4 linked regions of the Struthio camelus genome follow. The protein of the gene in region 4 interacts with the protein of the main gene of each other region in a pairwise test. Links are inferred from orthologs where the notes say so. Each region holds a gene or a part of one and is shown on either strand. Other genes may lie near its edges.

Evidence for each region.
Region 1: the proteins of LZTS2 (region 4) and STAC interact in binary tests that used the Homo sapiens proteins (3 or more experiments, as listed by UniProt). The two-hybrid records come from large-scale screens. The link is inferred for Struthio camelus from reciprocal best matches to the Homo sapiens genes LZTS2 and STAC.
Region 2: the proteins of LZTS2 (region 4) and MORF4L1 interact in binary tests that used the Homo sapiens proteins (3 or more experiments, as listed by UniProt). The two-hybrid records come from large-scale screens. The link is inferred for Struthio camelus from reciprocal best matches to the Homo sapiens genes LZTS2 and MORF4L1.
Region 3: the proteins of LZTS2 (region 4) and NEK6 interact in binary tests that used the Homo sapiens proteins (3 or more experiments, as listed by UniProt). The two-hybrid records come from large-scale screens. The link is inferred for Struthio camelus from reciprocal best matches to the Homo sapiens genes LZTS2 and NEK6.

Annotation. Positions count from the first base shown.
Region 1 is NC_090943.1:53,929,507-53,936,592, reverse strand, and holds the start of STAC (SH3 and cysteine-rich domain-containing protein), read right to left. Parts: upstream 3,017-7,086; 5' UTR 2,512-3,016; coding exon 2,395-2,511; intron 1-2,394. UniProt on the Homo sapiens protein: Promotes expression of the ion channel CACNA1H at the cell membrane, and thereby contributes to the regulation of channel activity.
Region 2 is NC_090953.1:1,357,398-1,364,555, reverse strand, and holds the start of MORF4L1 (mortality factor 4-like protein 1), read right to left. Parts: upstream 3,001-7,158; 5' UTR 2,884-3,000; coding exon 2,844-2,883; intron 1-2,843. UniProt on the Homo sapiens protein: Component of the NuA4 histone acetyltransferase (HAT) complex which is involved in transcriptional activation of select genes principally by acetylation of nucleosomal histones H4 and H2A.
Region 3 is NC_090961.1:1,652,691-1,660,685, forward strand, and holds the start of NEK6 (serine/threonine-protein kinase Nek6), read right to left. Parts: upstream 3,006-7,995; 5' UTR 2,991-3,005; coding exon 2,889-2,990; intron 1-2,888. UniProt on the Homo sapiens protein: Protein kinase which plays an important role in mitotic cell cycle progression. Required for chromosome segregation at metaphase-anaphase transition, robust mitotic spindle formation and cytokinesis.
Region 4 is NC_090948.1:15,894,046-15,901,773, forward strand, and holds the start of LZTS2 (leucine zipper putative tumor suppressor 2), read left to right. Parts: upstream 1-4,714; 5' UTR 4,715-4,770; intron 4,771-7,148; 5' UTR 7,149-7,217; intron 7,218-7,728. Other genes in the region: TWNK (twinkle mtDNA helicase), read left to right, coding at 466-723. UniProt on the Homo sapiens protein: Negative regulator of katanin-mediated microtubule severing and release from the centrosome. Required for central spindle formation and the completion of cytokinesis.

The sequences.
Region 1 (7,086 bases), on a different chromosome or scaffold from region 4:
TGCTACTATCCATATTCCTATATTTGGAGTTATAATAGTGTTTTGCCACAGAAACAAGTTATAGTAACTAGATACTGCTGAAACTGCTCTGCAGTAGCTGCAGCGGACACGGACTTGTTCCCCTATGCAACAGAGAGGTACCTGAAGAAAGCTGAGTCCTCTATGAATGACAGGATAGCTCCCTCAGCAGGGGCACTGGGAGATAAAAGCTTGCACGCAGGCCCTTGGCACACACTGACTTATGTATGTGTCAAAGCCTCTGGCTTGTGAAGTACATCAGTTCCCTTGGAAAAAAACAGCACAAACAACATCTTTGCAAAATCACTGAGAATTCTTCCATCCTCCTGTTTGCAAGAAACAAAAAACCAAACGTAATCTCATTACCCTAGTGATCAGAAGCCTCTTTTGAGTCCATCTATGGAAATGACAATACAGCATGCTTTCTGATCATATTTGCAGTCCTAAAATGTAAATACACAGATTATATATTTACTGAAAATGTCTGTATGCAAGCAATAGTATCAACTAATCTGCACAGACAGTCATAGACTTTTGCCTGTTCCCCTGCATCACTTCAAACGCTCACAAGACTGGCCAAACCGAGGATAATAAAATTTGATTATAAACCAGTGAGTAATCTCTTTCTTTACTGCCAGATGTGCCTAATTCCTATTGTCATCTTTGTGAGTGCCTTGGTTGTGCAAGCAGCCAAAAGGAATCTTGCATGCTGCACTTTGCTTTCTCTTATTTTAGGAGTTCTGTTTTGGTCAATGTATGCTGGGCACAGAGCTTGGTGACCTGGTGGGAAAGTCCCTCAAGCACACTGTCGCAGTCTCACAATGAGCACGGTACCTCCAGCACCATGACCACGTACCAGGACGGGAGCAAGGGTCGCAGCAAAGGGAGCGTGCAGCCTGCACAGCCCTGGGCACAGCTCAGCACATTTGAGAAAGTGGCGTTGGCCATATAGTGGAGGCTCCACTCACTTCTGGGACCTCAGCACAGGGATGGTCTTCCTGCTGGGCAAATAGCAATTCTGCAACTCCAGGGAAGTGCTCCTTGTGGGGGAGGTAGGGTACTGACCTATTGGATCCTTTGGGGATCTGAGGTTAAACAAATAACCCTTTTAGTTGTCATTTCCCATTATCAAGGAAGAGCGTAGCAATATCCCGGTAGTGCTGAATGTGTATGGTGAATAGTGGATGCTATTGATGCTGTGAGACTTCTTTTCTTTTAAAGAGCCTGTTTTACACAGGGAATACCTTAGCTCTCTTCCTTGGAGTATAGCATCTAAAAAAAGATCCCGAACCCCACGTCAGAACTCTACCCACACAGACAGATTATTGCAACGCACTCTACAGAAACCTCGTTATAACTCAGAATAACGTAGATTCTTCCTACGTTAGACTTTAAACGACGGGCAACACGAACCACCTCTGTGAAGCAGCTGTTTAGTTCACACAGTAGTTCCCAAGGCACTGCCCAGCTGTAAGCTCTTAGTGACAAGGACCTCCCCATTTTTACATGTTTGCACAGCACATAGCATCACTAGGAATATGGTCCATGGGATGGGCTGTCAGATGCTAGCATGATACTGATAAGAAAAGTACGTTATCCAGGTAAGCTGCAAAGAGCATTCATTCTGAAAGGTTAATTTTCTTCGGTTACCTTTCTCTTTTTTCCAAGTAACATACCGGCTGGCAGAAAAACTTTTCATATGCAAGTCAATTAAAAATTTAGAAGCCACACCATTTGAGCTGGATGTTGGCTTTCAGCAAGGAGAATTGAACCACATTTAATAATTAATGAGTAAATAAGAGGCTAGGAAAAAAAAAATCCTTTTTGAGTGGCGTACATACAGATTCTTCTGCCAAAATTATCACTCATATCCCGTTTCAACTGCTGGCTTGCTAAACAGCAAAAGTTCACTGACGGGTCTGCTGGAGGGGGTGAGGCAGGTGAAACACCCCAGCCCTCCAGACAAAATTCTCTTCTCTGAGCCTGTGAGAAAACCAGTCTTTCCAACTATGAACAGATGCTTCTAAGGGATGCATGCCTAGTGTGAAAATAGCTAAAAATATCAACCGAAAGCAATCCCCTCCCTGACTCTCCCTCCCCCCCCATAATACTGAGGGGAAAACACAAACAAAAATCCCCAAACCCCAACAACTCAAAAGCCAGGTCTTTTCCCCGTTCAGAGCCCCGAGCCGCCCAGGTGACCTGCAAGCGTTCAGAAGTATGACTGTCGGATTGGAGATGGCTTATAGCAGGCTATTTCACACCCTGCCACAGGGCTCCAAATAGCAATCAAAGCAACACATCTCTTTATAAAGCAAAGAAAGGAGGAGGGGGGGAAGGAAAAAAAAAAAGAAAAAAATCTTGTTCTCTCAATACCTTTGATTCCTGGCTGGTGGTCGATGCCGGAGAGGGGGGCTGCTCTGTGCTCTCCACTTCGTGCTCCTTCTCCACCGTGTCCACGCTGACTTCAGTCGCGCTGCTCGGGGGAATCATTTTACCTCTGAAACACTGCTCCTACCGGGAAAGGAGCCACAGACCTTTCTCCCTCTTCTCGGTTTAACGTCCTCTCTCCTCTCTGCTCTTCTAGAGCGAATGAACCCCGATCATGCTGTTTCACTATATTTGCCAGCCTGGAATTCTCTGGATTTTCTTTTTTTTTTCCCTTCTCCTCCTCCTCCTCCCCCTCTCCTCTTCCTCTCCCTCCTCCCTCTCCCCTCCTCCCCGATGTAATTCTGCTGCAAGGGGAGCAAGTCGCCGCTGGCGCCGTAGGTCAGTCCTGTGCCTGCCTCTGCGTTTTCCCGGTCCTCCTTTCCTCCGCGCGAAGCCCGCAGGCCCCGAGCGGAGTCGTGCCGGGCAGCCCCGCGGTCAGGCGGGAGTGAGCCGAGGCAGCACGCCCGAGCCGCTCGCCCGCACGGGGCACCGGAGGGAGGAGTTGTGTTGCTAAAGCCTTGACTAGCTTTGCAGGAGCGTGTGCTGTCATAGTAGTGTAAGAAAGTGCTGCGCGCGTGCACACACACACACACACACACACACGCGTGCAGGCGCAGAGGCACGCAGCGTGCATGAGGTTTGCAAGCGTTTTTACCTTTCACTCAGGCGGAGGGCATCAGAGTTTGAAGTGCAGCTTTATATTCTCACAAGTCTGATGTGTTCCCAAAAGAGCTCTACAAACAGAGGAGGAATAGGAGCGTTCCCTCACTTTCTCCCACAAAGAGTTTATTAAAAACCATAGCCACCCCATGTTTCTAAAGGCCAAACACCTCCCCCCCGCCACCAAAACCCTGGCAAAGTGTGACGCCGCTTCACGTGCTCGTCCTTCCCCAAAGCACACTGAAGTGCGGGCAGGGGAGTGCTGCTCGGAGTGGGGCGCGCACACCCGACCAGGGTCCCCCCCGGAGCTGCACTAATCCCTATACCTGCAGCTTGCCATAGCGATGGCGCTCCATCAGGATCGCCCTCCGTCAGGATCGCCCTCCGTCAGGCAGCGCTGGAGCCGAGGTGGCCGGGGAGGAGGGCCTGCTGGCTCCCCCGAGGGCCGTGGCTGGCCAGGATGTGGCACCCGGCAGTCACGCTTGGGGCCACGGGCTGACTGGTGGAAGGTCACCACAACTTTGCATGTTGGCTTGGCTCCTGCCCGAGTTTTCCACTGATTTAAATCCACGGCAAAGGCGCACGTCACCTCTCTTCCCTACCTGACTTTAGGTGCGGTGTGCAAATGGTTAAGTGGACGCGCTCCTCACCAGATGCATGCTCTGCAGAGCAGGAGCTGCTCCATGCAGCTGGAGGAGATGCCTCCTGGCCTTTCGTTTAAAGGAAAAATAAAAAAGCGACCCAAACACGGGTTTCCAATAAGTTGCACTTCTGTTCTCAAAGGTGCACAGAAAAAAAATTCTTGCTTTGTACATCTAGACTGCTGTATATTTGGAGGTGATTTGCTGAGGTTTGAGCCAGAGAGATTTGGTAGCTCTGGGTACCAGGCTCTCTTCTTGCCCCATCCCTTAGAAACACGGTTGCTGCCTGTGGCTGCCTCGCAGGCCCCCTCTGCCCCAAACAACCCACGGGTGAAAGGAAAGGTAGGATTTCAAGACAGTATGGGTTATACGGATGAAAGTCAGAGCAGAAATTGTCCTGCAGCCTCTATACTCTTTGTAGCTATGCAGAGGCCTGGAAAACACAGCTTTTCTTTGAATCCCCAGTGAATTTCCAGGAGTAGCAGTTAAATGGGGAAAAAAAGCTTTTTTTCTCCAAGACAGAGCATATAAGATACTGAAGTCTTTACCAGACGATAAACACGAAATGCCGTGATGCTATTTGTACAGCCACTTCAGAGCAAGAGTGCATCTTAGGTGTCTGCCAGCACAACCCTTTTTTTGGCCTGCAGTCACTAGCACCATCACGGGGATCAGAACGAGAACACCAGTCGCTCGTTGAGGCAGCTTCAATGACAACTGAGATTGAAGCAAGGAAATACAGAGCTGAGAATGGTGGATTTAGCAGGAGAGTGAATCAATTGATTTCCAAGGGTGTGATTTTTAAAATAGAGCAAAATCTTAGAGAGTTCCCTTCTGAGCCGGAGGAATTCCCAGCTGCAGATCTCACTTCTTCCACCTAGCAAGAGAGATTTAGGTGCTGCCATAAAACTAGCCTGTTAGCAATGAGCAGGGACTGCTCAGACTCACAGTTTGGGGGAATTAAGGCAACTGTGAGCCGCAGAGGTCTTGGCAGGGCCATAGTGCTTGAATGCTCCAGCTGGGGCGATGGTGTCCTTCCTGATGGTCCTGCCTAGCGCACTGTGGTTGAGGGACAGGGCACCGGGCCTGCCTGCTGCAAGAACTACTCTGTGAGCCCAGCAGTGTGAGAAATTTGTTTTTTTTTCCAGTTCCCCAAGAGAGTTTTGAACCAGTCTTTCATGGTAAGAGGTTCAAACACATCTTCTAACAGTGAACTTGTAGGTCACTTCTGAAATGGAGCTGAAGTGGCTGGTTAACAGTTAACGTTCTAAGTGTTGTAAAATCCGGCACACATTTTTTATGAAAAGCTCGCAACGTCATGACTGTGTAAATGACTATCATACCACTCTCTACTCTTTTTTTTTTTTGTTTTACCAAATTAGTTCTGACACCTGCTGCACCCCCTCTCTTCTCCAAATTACTCACTTGTCAACCATGACTGATTTGTCAGTTACTTGACAATCAGCCTGGGAAATATGAGTCAAACCTAAAATCTTACCAAAAAAGAAAAGAAAAAAAAAAGGAAAGAAGCTGGATTTCTCATATTTTTATTTCCTTGCACAAGAGCTGGTTACTGAAAATCAAGTAGTCAATATAACAAAACAGACTGATGAAGTTAGATGAACCTACGTTTCCCTCTCTCTCCCACGTGTCACTCTTGAGAAGTTGGACTTGTGATTAGTGCCGATCAGCCTCTAAGTGAAAGTACTTGGCGGAAACGCGAGCGCTGCAGCACAGCGCTAAACGAGAGGAAATTGAACAGATTCGCTAGCAAAGAGATGAGTGTAGATTTCTGGAGTGGGGAAAGGGAATTTGGATGAATAAAACATGAGACCAGATTCTCAGCCTCCGGCTGAAGCTGTTTAACCATATTAAAGCGCTTTGTCGCTGCCTGGAGTTGCAGCCAAGAATTGCCCTGCAGGGTGATGCAGAGCTGCCTGCATGGGTGCTCTGCTACGCGCTCTCTCCCTCCGCACGTGCCAAGGTGGTGAGTGGCAGCACAGAGCATCTCTCCGAGCTGGGGCTTGAGAAGTTGTTCCTCAGTGGCTGCTGCAGATTGAGTCAAGGGTGCCTCACTGCTCCAGGAGGATGTCAGTAAGCCCCCTCCTCAGCTGCACTGAGGCTTAAATGGCTACAGCCAGAAGACTTGGCCCAGTGGTCCTCGGGATGGAGGGAGCTGTGGCACAGATAGGGCAGAAACTGCTCCGATCAGGAGCAGAGGCAGATGCCACCTTAGACAGTGCTGGGGGGAGGGACATGATAAGGTGATGCTGCCTTAGGTAGTGCTAGGAAGGGGGGGCGTGATAAGGCACCGCTAATTCTCCCCTGCTTCCCTGCCCCGACTCTGTTTTTATGCAGCAGAATGAAAGTAGGGTTGTAAAACACCCCCACTAACTTCATCTAGTCTACATGGAGCACCACCATCCAGCAAAGATGGGGCAACAGGGGCTTCTGCAAAGAGCCATTGTCCAAGAGCTCGTGACACCATGTGTGTATGCTCTGATTATTAATGCACATTAAATCCATATTGCCAAGTCCTACTTGCTGTAGAGCTCCACAGTCACAGGATGATGCTGGCGTCGGTGTTTTGGCCAATGCCACATTCCTTCATGTTCATTTTCTGGTACTGACATTCCTTTTGTGATATCTGAACACCTTTCTGCAAAAGAGGTACATGAGCACAATTAGATTCCCCTAAGAGGAAAGAGATGAAACTGGCACTTATGCAAAAGGTGTTATTCCTGTTTAGACCCTCATGCGTTTACTAGAGGAGAATAATAAGTAAGCATAAAGGAGAGAGGTGTCATTTTTACTGCCTGGTGCAGGAACCATCTCATACCCCTGAGCAAAAACAGGATAAGGGAGTACATAAGATGATGTTACTCACAAACAGCAGTGCTTTAAACCACTATGTACATCTCTTTAGAAAGGAACAAAGCAGTAAGGAATCAGGCCAGCTGTCACCAAAGCAAAGCCCTCGGAGGAAAGAGGAATAAAGTCCACCGAAAGTCCAACTTCCACGAAGATGCAGATTGACTGCCACAGAAAGCCATCAGATACAGAAAAAAGGTTAGAGTTCTGGCACCTGTAGTGTAACTTTATCAGCTTCTCTCCAAGTCCCTCAGTCCCATTCTGTCAGTGTTGCAGGTGAGACACAGTAGTTTGATTTCTTAGTCAATTCGATTTTGTCTCTTGTGAAAACTGGCAGCAGGATTCCCCTCTGGTGACATTTGTGATGGGAATTTTATTTTCAGCAAGGTGCATTTGGCCAGACATACTGGTGGACCCTTTCACCAGGCTGTGCTCTCAAATATTAGCTAGTGTCCACAGTTGGCTA
Region 2 (7,158 bases), on a different chromosome or scaffold from region 4:
TGCTCTCCAGAAAACTGGAAAAACATTCACAGTAAAACAAGTCCAAGAACACAATACCTGCCAAAACTTTGCCAAAAATACCTCTCAACTTTTAAAATTATAATAATAAATCTGTATTTCTACATAATCTGTCCAGCAAGTTTCTCACAGAACAACTACTTAGGTAACTTCAGTACCTTCATTAAAAGAAGCTTTCAGATATGTTTATATAAATAAGTTCAGGGCAAATAATCAGTTCCATTATTATTATCACACTTCATATTGTTTGCTAACACTACTGAATAACACGTCTCTTTATTGTAATTATTACACAAGTTCTTTCTACATAAGACTTTCAAAATTACCAATTTTTCTTATAATTTATTTTTAAGCATAGCATGAATCTTCTTTTTACAAAAAAGGTCATCTTGAAACCAGAAAAACCCAAACTGGTTCTTTCTCTTTCTCAGATTTATATAGACATGCACAAAGCTTCTTCCTCTCTGAATCTACAGACCATTTCTCTTCCACACTCACACCACTACAGTGAAACTCCCATGTGTATTCCATTATCCCAAAGATAGTATTTGTAATAGAACAGTTCTTCAGCTAGAGTAGCTAACAGAAAACACCTGAACATGTTCTGTCAGCGCTCCTGAACGCCAAGCTACCCCGAGCACTTCTGTTGCATGCTAGTGCTCTCTCTCTCCCTAGGTTCCATGCTGGAATCTGGCTGGCTTGTACTGCTCAAATATAAATAAGGCTCTGGATGGAAGGAAAAAAAAAAAAAAATCTTCTGGATTCACTGCCTTGTCAAAGATTTCACATTAGGAAAAGCTTTTGGAAGTCAGAATTCAATTGGTTACTCCACCAGTTGTTTCTCACGCAGAGTATTTATAGAAATAAGAATTTTTTTACCCTGTACGTCAAGGACTTCATTCTACTTCCAGTTAAGTCTTCCCACTGATTCCAAAGGGGTGGGCTAGTTAGTTGGTGTATTAAGAACAGACCAGAAAACACAGAAATTTCATCAGCATCCTCAGAAAAAAGGTCTGCCTTAAGCAGCTCAAAAATTTACTATGACATCGGGGGGGGACCAACTGTGCAGTATTTAAGTACCACCGGTCCTTCCAGTTTGACATTTAGATTTTTCAGGCTCTCATAGCTTTTTACAATAAGTTCAGTCTCCTGCTCACCCGTTGCTCTGAAAATGCCAACACAAGTAACTTCTAAGTTTATGTACTACTATTAGCGGTGTATTTATTGAAAGTTTACAGTTTTTCCCCCTCATTTATCATGCTCTGAGGGGCCACAATAATAGCACTTAAGTTTTAAGCCTGCAGGAAACTGTTTATTCACAGGACTTTTCTCCCTTTTAATGCTACAGTTGAGACCACAGACACATTTCTATTTGAAAACAAAATTTAAGTCTATAAATTTAGTTCCGAAGTTAAGTTTTAAGTCACTTGTAGTCCTATAGCTATGAACATAATTTCTCTCTGAAATTCTACTGAAGCTTCAGTTTTTCCAGTTCACTCAGCTTCACATCAATGCAATCATTATAATGTGAATTGGGCATTAAAACCTTGAATATTCCTGTAGGTTAATACTAACGACTACACCATGGGTAAAGCGTGGCATGGAACGCTGCTGCACGATTGAACACGTTCTCAGATTATGTACAACTACTGTGTTGTTTGAGCTACAGAGAATGGCCAGTTTCCAGTCATTCTTTCGCAAGTGGTGCTTTAAAGATAACTCACAATCTTGAGGAATGTCCTGTTTAGAAGACAGTGAGAGAAGGAAGAGGGAAGGAAATAAGTTTTCATCTACCATTACCCAGCATTTCCATTTACCTATATCTAACCCCGCCACTATTTAAAACATAAACAAAAATCAAGGTCTCCAAAAGCATAATCCTAACCTTTATTCACCTAAAAATATCTGGTGCTTTGGTGTAAATATAAATTCCACCACAAATGCCAACTCTGTAGTCCAAATACTGCCCCCAAAACTCCTCCTACAGGAGAACTGCTGAGGTCCCTTGCAAAGAAGGGTAAATAATAAGCATGCTTCAAACTCAATAAGTGAAAAACCCTGGAGGACCCAGGAGATTTCAGCAGCGTTAATGCCAATAAGTGTCCACACCCACAATGAAACGAAGCACATTTAGAATAACCCGGGGAGGTGGGGGGAGGAAGGTCCCACAACTGACAGGTATGAAAGATGAGAAACAGGAAGGCAGACAAAGACTAGAGGATTCATTTCTTTCCCCTCCCCATCGTCCTATCGTATGGTCCGAGAAGTGAAAGCTAAAACCGAACGATGCCCTCTCCTGAAGGATGAGAAATACAGGAGCCCAAGCGCGGCCTAGCCGAAGGCCTGCGCCACAGCTCGCCTCAGCGCCCCCAGCCCTGTAAAACGGAGCACGCTGTGACTTGCCCTCGCCTTGAGGGCTCGAGAGCGACGGCTGCCCCCAGCGAGGGCTGCTCCGGCCCCGCAGGCGCCGCCGCCATTTGGCGGCCTGTCAGGTGCCACCCCCGGGCCGCGGCCGCGTTTAACTACAGGTGTCCTCGACGCACTGGGGCCTCCCAGCACCGGGCTCCCCTCAGACTGCGCTAACTGCCCCACAACAGCATTTTCACCTCTTTCTAATCGCTTCCTTTGTTGCTTTCCAGCCCTCCCACCAGGGAAACAGGCTGCAGCAGCGGCGGGGGTTAAACACGGCGGCTTTCAAGCGAGCTCCGCGCAAGCCGAGCTGCCTCCCCCCAGCTGCCCCACAGCCCCCTCCTCAGGCCTCGCCGCCCCCCCCCCCGCCTTCGCCCCCAGCCCCAGGCGCCCCCGACCCCCCCGCCTGCACTCACCCTCCTGGAATTTGGGCTTGGGGTCCTGCTTGGGCGCCATTTATAAGTGACTCTCCCTCCTCCCGCCCCCTCCCCGCGGGGGCCTCACCACCTCCGCCGCATTACGCGCGGCCGGCCCCAGCCCCGCCGCGCCGCGCATGCGCGCCGCAGCCACCCCGCGGCATGCTGGGACTTGTAGTGCGGCTCGCCCAGCCCCCCCCCCCCCCCCGCGCGGCTGCGGGCGCAGCTCTTTCTCAGTCGGACTGTCGGTTAGGGGCTTCATGGGAGCCGCTGTTGCGTGGCTGTGAGAAGCGGGATGGGGAGGGGGGGAAAAAAAAAGCTGCGCCCAACGTGGGGCTCGAACCCACGACCCTGGGATTAAGAGTCCCATGCTCTACCGACTGAGCTAGCCGGGCGCCACATTTGAGCCTCTTCCTCTGCCGTAGTGAAGAGCGCGGCGGCGCACCGCGCCGCCCTAACTCCCTCCTCCCCCCTCACCCCGCGCAAGTCCAGCGCTGCCGGCGACTGATCCTCCACGCCGCGGGGGGGCGCCCCGGTGGGGAGCCGCGGCCGGGCCGCTCTGCTGCCCGCGGCGCCTAGCAACGTGCGCGCGGCGGGGCCCGTGAGGCGGCGGCGGGGCCCGTGAGGCGACGGCGGGGCCGCGGCCTGGCCCGGCGCCCGCCCGTCCGCCGGCGTTGCTTGAGCTGCGCTGCCGGGAGGCGGCCGGGGGTGCGAGCAGCTCCCGCGCTGAGCGGAGCCGGAGCCCCCAGCCGCGGCGCGGATGCTCCCCTGGCGCCGCCTGCCCTGGTTCCTCTCCGCAGGCCTTTTACGTTGCACCTGTACGACGACGAGCGTTGGCCGGTCCGACGCGTTTGAACAAACATCCTCTGTTTGTAGAGGCAGATGAATGTTTATTATTTCTTTTCCCTGCAAAAAGGTTTCCTGTGATCGTTTCATCTGTTTTCATATTTTAACCAAGGTCGCTTTAAATAAAGTAGCCCACCAAGGACAACCGAAATGGAGCAGCACAGAAAGTGAACTCCTGGGAAAGCTGCCGGGTTCTTCAGTACAGCCTGGAAATGCGAGACAGTCTCCAAAGTCGTGTTTTTTCAAGAGATAAGCAAAAAAATATTCTGCGTTTCTACAGGGAGCTTCCTTTATTCACTTTAGCATGCAGGGGTTATGAACACACGAGAACCATGTTAGTTAATCCCTGTATAAATAGATACCTGGTGTAGCCGTGCTGCGCTCTCCAGTGTCCAATGAACGGATTGTGATTCTTGCGTTTTCCACGAGGCGGCACACTCGCTGAAACAGAGCACGTCCACGCCGATTTCAAGATGTTATTCCTGAAAAACAAGAAGTCCAGCGTGGAGGGGGACGGGAATGGCTCGGTGTTCCCAGGCCCGGCTTGAGGCTTTCCAGCACCGGGTTCTGGCTCGGCGGAGCTGCGTCAGCTGCTGGGTGGAAACGTGCCCTGAGTAGAAGCCAAGCTAACGAAGTCGCTACAGTAATTTCAGGGGGAGGAGGAGAGCTGTCGAATGGTCTCCGACTGTGATTTTATCAGCCCCAGCTCTGCACCATACCACTTTGTTCACAACACCTCAGCACATTGCCTCGTGGCTAAAGAAGAACAGCTTCTCACTGGTGTGAGGCTGTGCAGTCCCACCCTGCCTTGGCCTGCGGGTGCGCGGCGGGTCAGAGGCGCTTCAGAAATCCCCATAAAGACTGGGAATGGCTCAGCTGTTTGCGCATTACTTTATTTTGCTTCCCAGAAATGTGTTGGTTCCTCATCTAAATACACATATCCTTTCCAATGTGCGGATGTAACTGCTGTGTTTCAGTGCCCCTCCTTGGAAGATATTTGCCAAGTAAAAGGCAAAAGTGGCCTGACTTGCCGTTTCTCTTTGGCTAAACTACTGCAAACACCGCAGCACGTGGTACGCCAGTCGCGGGGTAGGACTGTGTGCCTTGTTGGAAAGCATTCAGAGCCATTCAAGAGCAATTGTATTTAAATGACAGCATGCTTTCAGAATCGATCTTTTTCCTCTCTAGTGCTTGCAGAAGACACAAAATGCCTGATCTTGGGAATGGTGAGTCAGATGGACGTTAAAATAATGGCGCATCCACTCCCCTGGGCTCTGTGTGCCCAGATCACTACAGGAAATCACAAGAGCGCAGCAGTGGGACAGCCTCCAGCAGGCCCAGACTGTGTAAAATATTCTTACCTGCGTTTCGCCCCATGCAAAAATATATTTTGGGATGTATTATGGCTGAGTTGCGCTCGGAGTTGCCTGCGCTTTTAAGAACTACTTCATTGAAAAAACGTCAGAGCGCCACATAAGGAAGATGGAACAACTCTATTTTCATAAACCTATTAAACCTCACTCACAGGCAGTCTTTCAGAATGCACTTATCTGAAACTAAACACTCGGTTTTGTTATTCTTTAAACATTTTACTCTTCTGGCTTAAATAGATAGGACTAGGTGGTGAGTTCCTGAAGTGCAGAAGGAACAGGCAGAGGAAATGCTACAAATAGCGTATGCCATTAACAACAATCAGATGTATTTAATGAGGAAAGGACTCTAATTTCCTGCAGTCCAAATGCCCTGCCAAGGAGTTATTTAAATGGAACCAAATTATCCAAGTTTTATATTTCCCATTCATTTTATCCAGAAAAGAAAAAAACTACATAAGAGGGGAAAGCCTCAGACTTTATACCTTAGGTATTTTTAGCTGGGAAAATGACATCCTAAGTAAAGCATCGAAGAAGTGACATGTTTTTCATTGATATTTTGCAGAACTGCCGTGAGATGGGGGTGAGAGGCAGCAGTCCCGTGGACGAGCTGTAGCCGTGCAGTTAGCAGGCGGGAAGCACGGAGAGATGCTTTCTAGCAAGCTAACAGGCTTTCCTCCAAGCGCTGATGCTCACTGCAGAGGTTTTGCTGCTTTACACCGCACAAAGACCTGGATTGCTAAACACAGCACGAGGAGCAGGCAGAGAGCTCTGTTACTTCCCTCCAGCTTATGCTACATCTGCATTTGATGAGATTTGAGGAACGAACATCACCTAGCGCAGCGCCCACGTAAGTTCGGCTGCTGACAGGATCAAGGTGTAGGGAGGAAAGGCTTTGGCAGTGGCAGCCTGCTCCTGTCTCTGTGGCACGTTGCATAAATTCTCTGCTTTCGGACGGGCGCAAGGCCCTAGAATCTCCTCCCGAAATGCCAGAGTGAGAGCTCTGCCCATGCCTGGGTGGTGGCTGGGTCTCCTCCGGCTCTGGCGGAAACCCCAGGGGCCCGCAGCTGGCACACCGTGGCTCTGGCCACCGTCCCTTGCGCGCCCGAAGGACGCCTGGCTGGGAAGAGGCGCTGCGGGTCACCACAGCCGAGGTAGCTGAGGTTTCCGTGCACCCTGTCAGCTCCTCGTGATTTATCCTGCCATGGTGTCACTGCGGTGCCACCGGGGTGGACTCCAGGCCCGGCCTCAGATGGGGATTTCTGCCCCGCCGCAGAGGTGGCTGGTGCAGGGATGAGGGCCCAGACCCAGCGCCTGGACCCGAGGGGGACCTGGACTGGGGGGACTTAGGGACATCTGGGCCTGAGGGGGACCCAGGAACAGGGCTGGACCTGAAGGGAACCGGAGGGCACCTGAGGGGACCCAGACGCAGGGAGCACCCGGACCCAGGGGCAGGGCTGGACCCAGTGGGGCCTGGACCCAAGGGGGGCCCGGGCCCAGGGGGTCCTAGAACTGTGGGGGGACCCTGACCTGGGGGGGGGACACCCTGACTTGGGAGGGACCTAGACCAGGGGGACCTGGACCTGGGGGGGAACAGGATCCAGGGAGGACCCAGACCAGAGGGGGACCCGGATCCTGGGGAGACCCTGAGATGAGGGGGACCTGGAGTGGGGGGGACCTGGACCTGGGGGGGACTTGGACCGGGGGGGACCCGGATCCTGAGGGGATCCTGACCTGGGGGGGGGGACCCAAAACTGCGGGGGGACCTGGATCTGGGCAGAACCCGGATCCTGAGGTGAGCCAGCTCCTGGGGGGGACCCAGATCCTGTGGGGACCTGGACTGGGGGGGGGACCCGGAACCTGGGGGGGACCTGGAACAGGGGGGACCCGGACCTGGGGGGACACTGACACTGGGGGGACCGGACACGGGGGGCCCTGGACACGGGGGGGCCCGGACCCGCGGGTGACCCTGTGCCTGAGGGGGACCCTGACCCAGGCGAGCCGTGACGGCCGGGCCGGGGGGCGCAGTCCAGGCCGCGGGGGGCGCAGGGCCGAGCCCGGGCCGGGCCGGCCCGGGCGGGAGGAGGCCACGGGCTCCC
Region 3 (7,995 bases), on a different chromosome or scaffold from region 4:
ATCATATGATTAAACACTAGAAGCTAAATGATACAGAACATCTTTTTTTAATTAAAAAAATAGAAGTAGTTTGTTTCTGAAACATTTTTAAACGTATTAAAAAGAATACAACTCAAAAGGCTTCTCACACATGCAGAACTACGGCAACTGGAGCAAGCGCAGATGTTTAAATACTTAGCACAGGTTAGAATTTGAAGTATTCTCGATCCGATCCAATCCAATGTGTGTATAAAAATAATCCAAGATAGAAAAAGACCTACCTATCCATATAAAGATTTGATAGGTTTACGGACTGCTGCATTTGAACCACTATTAAAAAACAAACAAACAAACAAACATGGTTTTCTCCTGTTAAATAGAGCTGAGCTTACAAGTTCTAGACCTGGCCATTTAATCACAGCTCACACAGAACCTCTGTTCCCATGTCCCACGTTCCAGCTGATGAAAGACAGCAGCTTCCAATCTAGCTTTAAATAAAATCAAAAACCCTTTAAGAAAGTTTCAAACAAGTATTTTGGAGGACTTAATTTTCTATGCAATTTAGACATACTGCAGCAATCTCAATATGATGAAAAAAGTTATACTTTTAAACTAGATTTTGCACACAAGTTCTTAAAAAAAAAAAAAATTAATCAAGTCCAACATTACCTCTCTGTTTCAACACTTTTTTCTCCTTTTAACTTCAGGTGCAAATCAAAAGTCAACCATGGAATCCAGAAATGGAAGAGATCTACTACATCACACTCAGCGTGCTCCTCTGCCAGCAGACTAGCGCTCCCTGAAGAGCATCCTCTGCTGCTTTGTCTGGCCCAAACTCAACACTAGTGGGGATCCTACCACTTCCTTTCGGGAGCCTATTTCAGAGGCTGCTGCAATTTATAGTAGCAAATCCATGCTGATATCCAATGTACTGTTATTTCTTCATGCATCATCTCTATGTCTCACTGCTCAAGAATCAAAATCCAAGATACTTGTAAACATCTTAGCATAGCTCTACTAGAAGATAAGTTAAGTATCTATAGTATTGAAAAAAGTGGCATCAGCAGTCTGCTTTCTGCAGCCTGGATGCCCTTAAAGACGGTGACCTTTAAAAGGCAAACGTTGCACCACGTACCTATATAACTTACTGGACTTCTACTTCACCATTTTTAATTTGCTCTCCCATCTAGAGACCGTACAACTACTGTCCCAGGAATTCTGAAAAGGTATTCTAAAATCTGCACCCAGCAGCGTACACAGGCCAGATTACTGAATCAGGAAACCAGATCAAGCGCCTCTTCTCAACACTGGGGCCTGAGCATGTTCGTGCTGAGCCTCGTGCTGAGCTGAGCTGATCTACCAAACTGTGGCCACTGACAGGACCTAGCCTAGCTCTCCAGGTGCACCTCCTCATCCCTCCTTTGCGTCCGTCCTTTGCTCCCTTTGTGGACCAATTCCTCTCTGGGGAAAGGAGGAGGCATAGCTAGGGAAAACAGCAATCGCTCTTTCAGCAGTACAGAAGGTAAACCGGTTCAACTCCCTCGCTTAACCAAGACATTTTTTCTTCCATAGTTTTATGCCAGTTTACTCTGCTGAAGCAGCTCACTGAAAGTCAGATGAGTGCCAGCACTGGCCCAGGGGAAACAGAGAAAGTAAGAGAAACTGTCCCTTTTGGTAGCATCAAGCTGTTGTATCAGCTCAGCCATCCAGTCACTCGGCGGGATGTTGAGACATATCAAACCTTCCTAACTCTGTTATCCTCAGTTTGCAGATAATCTATTCTTATCTTTTAAGGCACTTAGAGATCTAGTGATGAAAAGCACAAAGAACTTGATAAGTACTTGCGTGTGCTCGTACTATAAACTTTGCAAGAGAAGGGCTGACTGTTATAAACATATTAGAGTTAATGAGACTTAATAACAGAAGAAACTGTTTTGAAGGCCTCAGTCTTTAAAAGGCCGAAGTTTTAAAGGTTATCTAAAATGGACAAAAGTAACTTTCATATGATTTTATATTGGAAAAGGTCACTTCTTTTTCAAGTGTTCAGCTTAGTGATGCACAGCTGTACTGAAAACATTTTTATTTTCCTCTACCGCCATGCCTGTCTTTTAACCAATAGCAGAGTAGCTCACCATTTCCATGTCGAAAGTCATGTTTCTAGGGCCTTTGGTGATAAACAGTATCAATGTAAACATGAATTATTTTTGAGAAAGCAAGTTTGCTTTCAATACTGCAAGAATGTTTTTGGTGCACACAGAAGCAGAAAGAAAAGGCAATTTAAATACAGTAGAAGTCAGATTCCTAGATCATTCCCAGAGTACTTTTCTCCAAACATTAGGACACCAAACAAACAGCTGATTGAATCTAAAGAACTCTCTTAGTCTGGCAAGTAGATACATAACGTAACCTCTTTCAGACAAACTCTACATACGCTATCATGTTTAGATAGCAATGGAGAGAATCCCTCTGACTTGCTCCTCAAAAATATATAGATATATAGATCTATTTCTTTACATATATTTTACATATATATACACGTATATCTTGCTACTATCTCTAAATAAGTCTGTTCCACAGACACCTCTAACTGTAACTGAATCATATTATACACCGGAACATTTTTCATGAACTCTGTCCTTTAAGATCCTAAACATTATGCTGAAGCTACTCACTATCAAAAGTGACTGAAAGGGTTTTCACAAGCAGAAACAAGTTGAAAGCTGTTAGTGACGAGTATTTTTCAAATCAAACGTCTCCACATACTACGTTTGAAACCAGTTTCTTACAGTCAGCATCCATCTCTCACACCTCTCGTTCAGCACGCTGCAACAGTATGAACGGCATCGCATAATAACGGTCACTGCTTGTCACAGACTTCTTGCCTTTGACCAGGATACAAAGACACGTACCGCACAATTTCCTGCAAACAGCCCAGCAGAGTGTCCGGATAGGTGCATGCTGAAGCAGTCACCAGTGTTCACATAAAAGGTAAAATAGACACGTTTGGTCATTTTCCAAGACAAATGCAGGAGTTTGTGTCAGAGCAAGAATACATATTCATGACTCCCTTAATCTTAATTCTGTGCTCAAAACTCTAATAGCATCATGGCTGCTTTTCACCTAGATAAGTGTTGAATTTTAATAATACTAAATATCAGAATAGTAAAAGAAAAGAATACTAAAAAACTTCTAAAATGAGGTTCCATTTATTTATTTTGCTCATTAGCCAAAGATAAAGGCAATTGTTACGGCTTTCTTTGCTATGAATGTTCTCTTCCATAGCAAGAGCATCTAAGAAAAGTGAATTAGAAGGACAGAAGTTAAAAACCCAAGTCCAGCTATTAAACCTGTTTTCTGTAACAGTGGGTATCCCAACCGGGCTTTCACTTAGGAAAAAAGCAAAAAATCAAGCCCCAGATGTTATAATTATGCCCAGCTCTATCATTCAGGTTTTGGCATCTTTATCTAGTACTTCTCCTTCTCTTCCAACAACAATTTTCTTGCCTTAAATTTGGAATGAATACATTAATTTTTACTGCCTGCCCCACTTGCTGACTGCTGCAGTTCATACTGTCTAGTCTGTATTGCCATGTTGTTTTTTAAGTATGTATGTTCCATAACTTGGAGCTTAAACATATCTGACAGCACAGAAAGTAGGAGGAAACGTGAAATATATCCACCAACTCATCTCCTACACCTCTACAGAGAGCGTACACACCTTCAGAGGTGGAGGTCAATTTGTTAATAACTATCCCGATTTTACAGCTAAGAAGGCAGAAAATGCATAAAGTCAGCTATGTCTGCTCCTATCCCCACTTCAAAAAATTGCTCATTGAACAAATAATTATTAACAGATCATTCAGCACGCAAAAAAAAACTTTTCAAAGCCATTTAAAGGGACCTTCAGACAAACAGCTAGGTCTGAATAAAGCCAGAAAACATGCTGTGAGATAAATCTCCGGGTTTCCCACTATTTTCTGTGGCACAGCCTCCATTACTAGGAGCAAAGAAAAGAGTCAATACAGGCTCAATAATATCAATATACGCATAAGTATTACATATTGACATTAAAACTTTTGGGCAGGATCATAAGAGGCAGGTATTACAAAATATGTCCGGTTCCCAGCATGGGTTTAAAGTGTGACTTACTCAATTTCACCTGTTTTTCTCTTAACAAAATACATACTAAGTAATTTAAAGATATATATTAAAACTCATATTCAAATTATGTGCCCCTCCTCTCTCATAAAGCACACATTTGTCAAGAAACAGAATTCCAGAGGCAGCAGGGAAACAAAATAAACAAAAGTGCTTTGTACGCGCGGAAAATGTTCATTCTGTTCTGACAAGTTCCTCTTGGGGTGGTAACCGTCACTCACATCCAGTCTAGAAATCTCGCTTCCCACAGAAGACGCTCGCTCCTTTTCCACCATAACAGAAGTTCCTCTCCTCCCAACCCCCATTTTTATGCGTCTAAGTCATAAAGCCATAGGAAACGGGGCAGCAACGTTCACATCTCAGACAAGTTCCTCTTTTTTTTTTTTTTTCCTCCTTTTTTCTGTTGCTGCTTAAAAGAATATGACTGTCACAGAGAATGTCGACAGGAAAAAAGTAACAGCGGAAAGAGTTTTGACTCAATGTCAAGAGATGTATCAAAACATGAAAACAGTATAAATGCCGCAAGTTAAACAGTTGCTTACAATGATTCACAATAATGAATTTTTAAAGGAGACATAGAAATGACAGCAAGTCATTCACAATGTGTCAGGAACTTGCATCACTGGACTTCTAATTGTTACAATATTTCCCATCAAATTACTTGTAGCGCAATGATGCCATAGGCAATTATCATTGGCAGAAATATTTTGCGTGTGTGAACAGACAAACAGATGGAGCTCCAAAGTCCACCATTATTCTCAACAAGTATCTATCGCACTCTGGAGTGAATAACATGTTGAAGAAAATGGTATTTTGCAGTTCAACTCAAACAGCATATACTCTCTCTAGAAGGCAATGCTGTAATCCCTGAAGCACTGGTTTTATTTCAGACTTCCTATTTTTTAAAGATAACAAAAAATAAAGCGTTCTGAGAATATGTATGCTCCTCTCCCGTAAAGTGCTCAGGAGGACATCAGGAGCTGGCAGACAAAAGAGATGAAAAATACGAAGCACCTAAAGAAAAGTTCTCAAATTGCAGTCTAGGGACTCCCAAAGAATTGTAAAGTTCTTTTCATGAGCTGCAAGAACACAAGAGCACAAAGAATCTCATAGAAAAGATAAGGAAAAAAAAAACGTATAAAAAGGACATAATGGGCCTTTTTCATATGGCAGTGTCACTTAGAGTGGCATGCAAACGGAACTTGTATGGGAACCACTAAGCTAAGGCATGAGTGTTTGGCAGCACTACTGTTTCTAAGGTTAGAAAAAAAGAAGGAAAAAGAAAAAAGTGTCATCACACATACACCACACAAAACTATGCAAGTATTCCTATTTTACAGTATTTTAACTTTGCTAAAATCTTAAAACAACGCTATATAACAACACCTCTCTGGAAAGCAACCGAGTAAGATCCAAATTTGTCCTAGTTTTGACGACATCTCCGTTTATTTCTCACTTTTGCCCAGGCACGTGCTAGCTAGCCGCAGAGCGAGCGAGCGCGCCGGCACCCCGCGCAGAGGAGCGGCCACGAGGCGCCGCGGGGCCCGGAGCCCCCGGGGCGGCGCGCTGCGGCTCGGGCCGGGACCCGCGCGCCTCGCCTCGCCTTCCGCCTCCCGCCGCCGGGCCGGGCAGCGCCCGCCCGCCCGCCCGCCCGCGCCGGGCCGGGCCGGGCCGGGCCGGGCCGGGCCGGGCCGGGCCGGGCCGGCGGCAGCCAGGTGCGCTGCGCGCGCCCGCCCGCGCGGCGCCCCGGCCCGCCCGGGCGGCCCGGCCGCGGCTGCCGCCTCCCCGCGCCGGCGGGCAGCTCCCGGCCGGCAGCCGCGGCGGGCACACCCCCGGCCCGGCGGCCCGGCCCGGCCCGGCCCGCGGCCCTCCCGCCGAGGCGGGCTGTGCTGCGGCGCGGGCGGCCCCTTACCTGCGGAGCGCCCGTGGCCGTGCGGGCGCGGCCCCTCGGGGCGGGCAGCGCGGACGCCCGAGCCGGCGGCGGCCCCACAGCCCCGCACCGAGCGAGCGGCGCCGCGTCCCGGACACAACTTCGCCGCGCGCTCCCGCCTCCCGCGCGCCCGCGCCGGCCCGGCCCGGCCCGGCCCCGCGCCCAGCCCGCCGCGCGGCCCCGCCGCCCCCCCACTCACCCGGCCCGGCCGCGCTGGGGGAGGGGGCGGCGGCGCGCGCGGGCACGCGCGCTCGCGGCTGCCACGCAGGCCGGGCGGCTCGGGGGCGCGCGGCGGGACGGCCCCGGGGCGGCGCCGGGCGCTGCCGCTGCCGCCGCCGCCGCCGCCGCTGCCCGCGGCGCCCGGGCCTCCCCCGCGCCCGGCGGCCGCGCCGCAGGCCCCGGCCCCGGCTCCGGCCCCTGCGCGGCCGCGGCGGCACCAAAGCGCCTGAAGTCCGCCCAAAAGCCAGCTCGGTTCCCGGGCGCCGACCCCGGCGGCACGGAGAGCGTTTACCTGCGCCGATTTTACTTCCGTTTTAACTTGTGGGTTTTTCCATGTCCTGAGATGAGTCACAGCAAAAGCAAAACTAGCCTAGGGAAAACAGAATTAGCAGAGCCCTCCCACCAGCGCGCCGGCTCGCGGCCTTTACTCCCCCGGAAAATTACCGCTGCCAGGGCCTCGCATGTCAGAAGTGCCCACGTCCTTCCCCGAAAACTGCGCAGTGCTCATTTGCAAACTTCCCCATTTTTAATTTCAGCCTCTGGTTTCTCACTCATGATCCCAGGGATTAGTTCCTTCCCCGCTGCGGGGCTAATACAAACTGAGTGGCGACAGTGACAGAATTAGAAATTTGTTGCAACAATGGCAAAATTATACAGCTAAGACTTTCCTTCGCAGTATTCTCATTTGTCTTTCGCTGATCCTCTTACGTAACGTTAATTATGGGGACATGTAATTAGGTGCTCTGCTCCTGCAAAGACATGTGCTAAACATCACCAACAGAAGGAGTAGCCGTAATGATCGTAAGAGCAGTAGTCACATGTCTAAAGCAAAGTGCATGACTTTTTTTGCAGGAATCGGGGTCTAAACGGGTCTAGGTCTAAAATATATGATCTTAGGAATTCAGTAGAACCTTTTTTTTAATCAAATGGAAATTTTTTCTTCCTTTTTAAATTCACGAATTGCAGTGCTTTGTAGATGAAGACAAAAGCATTAGTAACCTTAGTATACTTAAGTCTAAATTCAACAGTATTTTTTACAAGTGAAGAAAAACTCGAAACTGAACTTAACAATAAATAAAAGTGAAACTAACAGCTCTCATTTAATTGTCTAAACTGGGTGAAAGGCATACAGTAACAGAGAGCATATCTGGTGAGAAATATTTCTGATTGCTCATATTTTGTCAATTTTTGTAATCCAAGGCCTAGCTACAGCAGAAGAAGTTTGCTGGCATGACAGTAAACCAGCCTAGCACCGAGGTCCTATCACAGCAGGAAACTGCTAGTGCCAGCTTGTAACTGATACCAATACCAGTTCAGCACATGAAATAAGCTACGCAAGCACGAGCACTTTTCGCTAGTATAACTTCGTTTCTGCTAGGACTGTTGCCAGTTAAGAAAAAATACAATTAAAAAAAAATCCTCTAACCAACCCTGTTCAATTGATGTAAGCAGTTAGTGTGGAGCTGATTATAACTGCGACCTGCACGGGATGGCAAAGGCAGGTGTGCAAGAGGAAGCTGTTTCCTTAGAGGCAGAAAGGGGCGTCCAGAACAAGACCCCCCCGCGCCAGGAGACCTCCGTTCTTTGGAACACGCCCGAGACGCCGATGCCCTTTGCGCTGTGCCCTAACCCTTGCGGGTTTGCAGAGTCCTCCAGGCGTCCTGCCGCTGCACGTACGGCTGTCTAGAGAGGACGGTCAGAAACACCGA
Region 4 (7,728 bases):
CTCTGCTATGATGCTGAGCAGCCTTGTGGTGGTGGGCAGGAGGGGCTTTTGTGAGTGTGCCTGGCCCTCCCTGCACTGCTCTGGGATCCCGGCATCTCTGGTCAGGGAGGTGGCAAACCCCAGGGCCCCAGAGAGGTGTTTGTGCCCGTGTCTGGGTAGGGAGGGCTGGGGGCCCTGCTGTGCTCTGTGGTGTGATCCTGGCCTGGGTTCATGCTTACCTTGTTTCCTCGGGGGATGTGGTGGCTTCCGTTCAAATCTGTCTGCTCTGGCAGGGTGCTATGGTGTCCTGGGGGAAGAGAGCCTGGGGCAAGGGGTTGGTATTGGGGAAGTGCTGGAGACGCTGTGGCCTGGGGCACACTGTAGTGGGGCTCACAGCAGTCAAACAGGCATCTCGTGAGCTTCTCTGAGCCATACCACTACGGCTGTATCCGCGGGACCCTTCTGGAGACCTTTTCCTTCCTGCAGGCCAGCCAGGAGGCAGACAACGTCCTCATCCTGCAGGACAGGAAGCTGGTGACGGGGCCTGGGAAGCGGTACCTGCAGGTGTCCAAGAACCGTTTTGATGGGGACGTGGGCGTCTTCCCCCTGGAGTTCAGCAAGGCCTCGCTCACCTTCTCCTCCGCTGGCAAAAGCAAGGTCAGGCTGAAGAAGATGAGGGAGGAGAAGGCGCCTTTATCCAAGAAAGCTCCAGCTGGAAGCACGGGGTCTTCCAAGAAGCCTTGAGTCTGGCTACTCCCTTCTTTGGTCTGTCAGGAGGAACTGGGACTGGTGCTAGCAGCATGGGGCTGGGGTATGCCAGCCCGTCTCCACCAGGAACGGCAATAACGTGCTGCTGTTTGTCCTTTTTCCTCCTACGCAAAGAGGCCTCTTGGCTGCAAAAGCAATCTCACTGGGAGAGATGTGAGGGCCGTGGTGGGAGGACGAATGGGATCCTGCTGGAGAAGAGGAGCCTTTTTCTTGCTGTGCTGCCTCCCAACTGCCCAGGGATGGAGAGCTGGGGGCGGTCCTGGCTCCCTGCAGGCTGCCGCTGGCGGAGGTGCTCCTGGTGCAGGGCAGATGCTTTTCTGTGTCCTAGACAGATGTTTTTGCAAATTTTGGTCACTTGATCTTGGTGCTGAGTGCTGAGAGCGTGGAGTGGGCCATGGCTTGGGTGAGGGCCCAGGGGCAGTAACCTGTAGCCCTGGGGCTCTGGGCTTGGAGCATTTTATTAACGTGCTGCTAAACTTGTTGGGCCAAAATTCTGGGCCATCGTCGTGGACCCCACGAGAGGCCGCATGGTGGGACTGCGGAGACCTCCTCCTGTCTCGGATAGGGATTTCAGGAGTGCTGTGCTCGGTCCTGACTGGGATGGGGTCAGCAAGAGGGAGGTTGTAGAGGGATGCTGAGGGATACTGTGGATGGCCCTTGGCCTGGGGTGCCTGGAGCTGGATGGTCTCTGCTGGGAGCCTTGTGAAGCCCTGACAAAGGTGGGAGCTGCCACCCCCATGGTGGTGGCGCCTGAGCAGTGAGGATGGAAATGTGGCAGGTTGAAGGCAGGGTTTGCTTCCTCTTCTGCTGGCCAGCAGGTGGGATGTGCAGCTTGCCAGCTCTGCCTGCTCGACTACTGCCCTTTGCCCCAGGACGCCCTGGTCTACCCTGTCCTGTCTCTCCACTGTGGGCATCACCAGCAGTAAAACCCCTGGGGGACCCCCCCCGGGCTTGGCTGGAGAGGGGTGCCAGCATTCTGGGCCAGCGGCTTTGGGCAGCCCTGGAGCCAGGCGTGCGCTGTGGTCTCCCCTCCTCTTGGCCCTGCTTTCACCCAGGGCTTTGAATGTGGCAGCAGTGGTCCAGAGACTTTTCAAGTCCATCCCCAGGGACCCTCTTTCAAAGCGTTTAGTGGTGAACACTGTGACCTGGCTGGTCCTTGCCGTGGCAGGAAGAGTCCACGGTCGGATCTTGGTCCAATCCTTTTGTTTTCCTTTATAGTTTTATTAAAGCAGAAATCTGAGTGCTGTTCCTATGCTGCTGTCCTTTGCTGCCTGTGATCACGTCACCCTTTGGCTGGGGGGACCCTGGTCAGGGAGGCGATGTCCTTGAGGGGCCCTTGCCGGGCTGGGCATGTCTGCCCCACAGGGAGTTTCCAGGGCTCAGGCTCAACTGAAATCTGCCTGTGGGCCTCAACAGCACATTTCTGCCCCCGTTCAAATGGGGACTGGTCTGCGTTTCCTGGGTTTGGAGCCTAGGGACCAGGTTGGTGCCATAAACTCCTGGGTGGAGGAGGACAAACAGAGGGACAGGGTTATGGGGATGTCTTGACAAGAGATGCTACTGACTGGGACGCATGCCAGAACATCCCACCCTAAAGATAAGCAGCGAAAGGAGAGAGGCCATCGATGGGGCTGGGACCTCCCTTGGGTCTGTTCTGTCCAAGGTCCCTCACCAGCCTCTTCCACCCTCCTTGGAGGCAGCACGATGGGCTCTGGCGGGGAGGCCTGGCCATGCCTGTCCCCTGGACTTTGTCCAGGAGAAGTCCCTGCTTTCTCCCCTCCACCCCCTCTCTCACCCAGGGCAGCCAAGGGGGCAGCGGCTGGCCCGGATGCCCGGGGAGGTTAGCGCAGGCAGGGAGGAGGGTGCTGGCTGGGGCTTGCCCACAGCTCTCCCCGTGGTCACAGCCCATCACCGCCGTGTGTTTAGCCCGGCACGTGAGTTATTATCTGCCTCCGCACGGGGCATAGTTTTAACCTGAGCCATAATGAGGGGCTGGGGCGGGCAGGCGGTACACACCCAGCTGCTGTTTTCTGGGGTGCACCAGCTCCCTGGGGCTGTTAAAGCACCCTTGGGTGCTGTTGGCGCAGGCATCGGGAGCCTGAGGAGGGAGTTTGGCTAGGCCCCCAGGACAGGCCAGGGGTGCAAGAAGCAATGGAGGAGGGTCTCGGTTGTGGAGCAGATCCTGGCCAAATGGAGGTAAGGTGGGGGGCAGCGGGCTGTTGGGGAGGGAGCTGGGGCAGAGCTTGGCGGTGTTATGGTGTCTCCTGTGCATAAGGCGCTGTACAAGCACCACAGCCAGGCCCTGGGCAGGTCTGGTGGCATCACTGCCCTGGTGGCATTTCTCCCCAGTGCCAGGGTGATTCCAGTGAGGATTTGTGTGGAGGCAGGCAGGTGCCAGGCTGGGGTTCGGGGCATCCACGCTCAGCCCAGGTGCACCCATCCAGCTCGCTGGCCTCAGTTTCCCCTTGATCCAGCCAAAGGACGATGCTGTTGGGGGGGGGGGGGGGGCTGCAAGGTTAAAGGACTAGGAGTGGGGCAGACCTCACAGGACTATGTTCTGCGCAGGGTGCATCCTTGCACCCTCCGAGCTGGGGCAGCAGGGCACCCTCAGGACCACCGTCTCCCTCCTTATTTACCCCTCAGGGCTGGGAAGGGGGCGGTGGAGCCGAGCCCTGGGGGCAGGGGGGTCCCAAGCAATGGGACCACTGGCCTTGGGAGGTCCCAGCCCTCCTCCCTCCCAGATCCGTCAGGGACCCCCTGGGTGGGCGATGTGTCCCCGGGCGCCTGCCGGTTGCACCTGCTCAAGGGGTGCCCGCCGCTGAATCCAGCCCCGCGGCTTTCCAAACTGCTGCTGTACTGATTTTCTTTCTCCGTTGTCTCCCAGTTTGGGAGCTCTCAAAGAGCGGGTGGGAATAGCTGCAAAATCCCACCCACGGTGGGGGGCAAAACAGAGACACGGGGCAGAGCCCGGCCACCGTTCCCCTGGACAAGGTGCTGGGGGCACCCCAAACACCTCTGGGGGACGACTCCTTCAGGGCGGCTTTGGGGGGTTTCCGGGGGTTTCGGAGGGGCTCGCCCAGGCTCTGGGGAGCCTCTGGGGAGCCTGGCTGGCCGAACGCGGGGTCGGCCCCGGGGGGGGAGCTGCCGGCGTGAGTCCCCTCTCGGGGCTGGGGCCGGGCTGAGCGGGGCGCCCCAGCCGTGGGGCACCAACAGAGGGCCACAGCCCCCGGCACTGCTCCCCACCCCACTGACCCCCACCCCGCAGCCCCCATGCAGGGCCCCCCACTGCATGGCACCCCAGCCCCGTAGGCCCCATACAGCACCCCCGCCCCACCGTGTGGCACCCCCCCCCCCCATAGCCCTCATATAGCACCCCTGCCCCATAGCCCCATGCAGAGCCCCCCAATGCACAGCACCCCCGCCCCATAACCCCCACACAGCACCCCCATCCCCATGGCCCCATGCATGACCCCTCACTGCACAGCACCCCCGCCCCATAGCCCCATGCAGGGCCCCCCAATGCACCCCCGTCCCATAACCCCCACACAGCACCCCCGCCCCATAGCCCCATGCAGGGCCCCCCAATGCACCCCCGCCCCATAGCCCCATGCAGAGCCCCCCAATGCACCCCCGCCCCATAACCCCCACACAGCACCCCCGCCCCATAGCCCCATGCAGAGCCCCCCAATGCACCCCCGCCCCATAACCCTGTGCAGGGCCCCCCACTGCACGGCCCGCCCCCAGCCCCATACAGCACCCCCGCCCCGCCGCGCGGCACCCCGAGCCCCACGGCCCCCCCCCCCCCGGCCCCCGCCGCGCAGGGCGCTCCCCGGCCCGGCCCGGCGCTGCTGCCGGCGGCGTCGCTGCCCCGCGCCCCGTCCGTAGGGCGCCCCCCTGCCGGGCTCCCGCGCCGAGCCGGGCCGGGCCGGGCCGGGCCGGGCCAGGGGGGCCGGGGGCGGCGGGCGGGGCCTGGCGCGGGCCGGGCCGGGCCGGCGCGGAGCGGAGCGGCGGCGCGGGGCGAGCGTGAGTGCGGGCTGGGCCGGGCCGGGGGGCGCCGCGGAGCGGGGCGGGGGCCGGGGGGGCTCTGGGGGGCCCCGCGGGGGGCGGCGGGGGTGGCAGAGGCCTAGGGGTCCTGGGGGGGTACTTTGGGGCTGTTGTGGGGCAGTTGGGGGGAGCTATGGGGCAGCAGGGGCCCAGGTGCTCTGTGGGGCACTTGGGGGGGGCTGTGGGGCAGCCGGGGCCTAGGGGTCCTGGGGGGGCCTCTTGGGGGTGTTATGGGGCACTTTAGGGGCCCTGTAGGGCAGCAGAGGCCCAGGAACTCTGAGGGACACTTTGGGGGTCCTGTGGGGCGCTTTGGGGGGGCTGTGGGGCAGCAAGGGCTTAGGGGTCCTGGGGGGGCCTCTTGGGGGTGTTATGGGACAGCAGAGACCCCAGTGCTCTATGGGGCACTTTGGGGCTGTTGTGGGGCACTTTAGGGGCCCTGTGGGGCAGCAGAGGCCCAGGTGCTCTATGGGGCACTTTGGGGGTTTTGTGGGGCACCTTGGGGGGGGCATGGGGCAGCAGAGGCCTGGAGGTCCTGTGGGAGCACTTTGGGGAGGTGTTGCGGGATGGCAGAGGCCTAGATGCTCTATGGGGCTCTTTGGGGCTGTTGTGGGGACACTTTGCAGGTCCTGTGGGGCAACTGGGGGGAACTATGGGGTGGCAGAGGCCCAGGAGCTCTGTGGGGCACTCTGGGGGTGTTATAGAGCAGCAGAGACCCCAGTGCTCTATGGGGCACTTTGGGGGGGTGTCATGTGGGGCTCACTGGGGGGTGCGGGGCACTGAGGGGCAGGCAGGCAGCAGTGTGGGGCAGCTGTGAGTTGCTGTGGGTCGAGGGGACGGAGCTGTGGGGCAGGCGCGGGGGGGGGGGTGTGGGGTCGGTTGGGGGGCACTGCGAGGGGCGTGTGGGGTCTGAGCCCCCTCAGAAAGGTGCGGGGGCCCCGAAATCTCTGGTGGCCCGAGGTGGGAATCCCGCGGCAAGGCCGGGAGCGCGGCGGGGATGAGCTTCCCCGTGCCTGGCGTTTGGGAGCCGGAGGATCCTGCTTCCTTGTGCTCCCACCTGAGTTCGCCGGCAGTGACGCCGGCCCAGTTACTAACTGGTTTTACTGGGGAGCTCAGAGCTGCCTGCCGGCCCGCTCGGCGCCGCCGGGGCGTTTCGCAGGCCGCGCTCGCCGCCGGCAGGCCTGGCGAGTCCCCAGCTGAAAGTTTCCGTCCTCCAGAGGCCCCGGCCTGCCGGACCCTCCCTGGAGGCGGATCGGAGCTTGCGGGAGGGTGAAGAAGGATCCCTTCTCCGCAGCCGCAGCTCCCGGGATTCACGGCGGGGGATGCGCGGTGGGGTGGCACCCCCAGGGCTCCCTGTCCCAGGCTGGGAGCTGATCTGCAGCCGGAGAGAAAAGGAGCCGTCGGGCTCTAGTGGTGGCCTTGTCCCCTTGGGGGCTGGCAGGGTGCTGGGATCCAGCTGCAGGACAGGGCAGGGGGTTATGTTTAGCAAGGAGGGGTCCGGCAAAGAGTGGGAGGTGAGGCGGTGTGAGGTGCCCACGGGCTGGCTCCCCATCGCCGTCCCCTTGCCGTGTCCCCTACTGAGTGCAGGGAAAGGAGCCGGAGGGGCTGGTGAGGCAGCGCAGGGGCTGTGCAGGAGTTTCCCAAGCGGGATGTCGCCCACAGATCACCATGTTTGATAATCCCATTCTTGGGGGGTGGGGGGGTGCCAGGACCAGCATACTAGACCCTGGCATCTTTGGCCATCCGCTGTGCCGCGCTGGCGCTGCCCGTCCCAGACCTGCCGGCCGGAGAGCTTTGGCAGGGCTGGAAATGGTGCTGGGGGGCCTGGCAGCTCCTGAGCAGCAAGGAGCCCCGGCTGCAGGGCAGGGCCGGGGTCAGCCCTTCGCCTGGCTCTGCTGGCGGGGACGCTGGGCCCGGGATGACCGAGCCCAGCTGGAGGCCCTGGGCACAGCGGCCTACGCACGCCCCGCTGTTAGCCCACGGCTGAGCGCGCAGGGCTGTGCCAGTCAGCTGGCATGGCAAGCTGGTTTCTGTCCTCTGCCATCCAGGAGAAGGCGGGCAGGTGCTGATGCATGGCCCCAGTGCCCTCCCTGCTTTCCCAGCCCTGTGGCGGGGGTACGGTACCACCGGTTTGGGTGGAGATGCTGGGTAGGGTGCAGATGGGCAGGGCTCTGCCTGGCACCTCTGCAGGGCTTGGTAGCAAGCATGTCAATTTGGGGGAGTGGGTGCAGGACTGGTCCTTGGAAGCTGCAGGGGGTGCAGTGAGCCCCCCCATCTCCCTTCGGGCCCTGATGTGGGGTGATTTGGGAGTGGGTGCTTTTTGCACCCTGACCCCCTCCTCTTTCTTTTTCCTGCTGCAGGGGGTGACTGAGCTGTGTTCGCGGAGCAGGGACCTGAGCGGGCCAGACGAATGGGCAGCGACTGGCGAGGTGAGCGGAAGGCCGTCACCCGCACCCCCGTGGCGGCAGCGCTGGGGCATCGGGCTGGGTACAGTGGAAAGTCGCCGTGCCCGGGGAAGGCACGTGCCCGTGGTGGTGGAGGGGAGGGGAGGGTGCTGGCAGCCCGGCCCCTCCTGCTCTGCCCTCCCCGCCTGCTTGCCCCCTCGGGCGCTGGCAGGCGGATTGATTTCAGGTGACAGCTCAGCAGGCGAGACCATGCGGGCAGCAACCCCCCTTCCTCGTGCCCTGTGCCAGCTGCAGCCATGTGCGAGATGCGATGAGGCAGCGGGGGACGGATCCGGCCCGTCGGCTGGCTCATGTCACGCGGGCGTATGGTGTGGGCCGGGGAGGGGGGGCACGCACCGAACGCGTGCGCCCAGGGCATGGGCCGCAGGGCAGCAACAGGGGCACTCGCAGAGCCCCCAGACTGGAGAGGGGCAGGCAGCGTGCTGTGGGATTGGGAAAGAGCTTGGCAACTGCTTTATGCCCTGCTCGCTCGCGC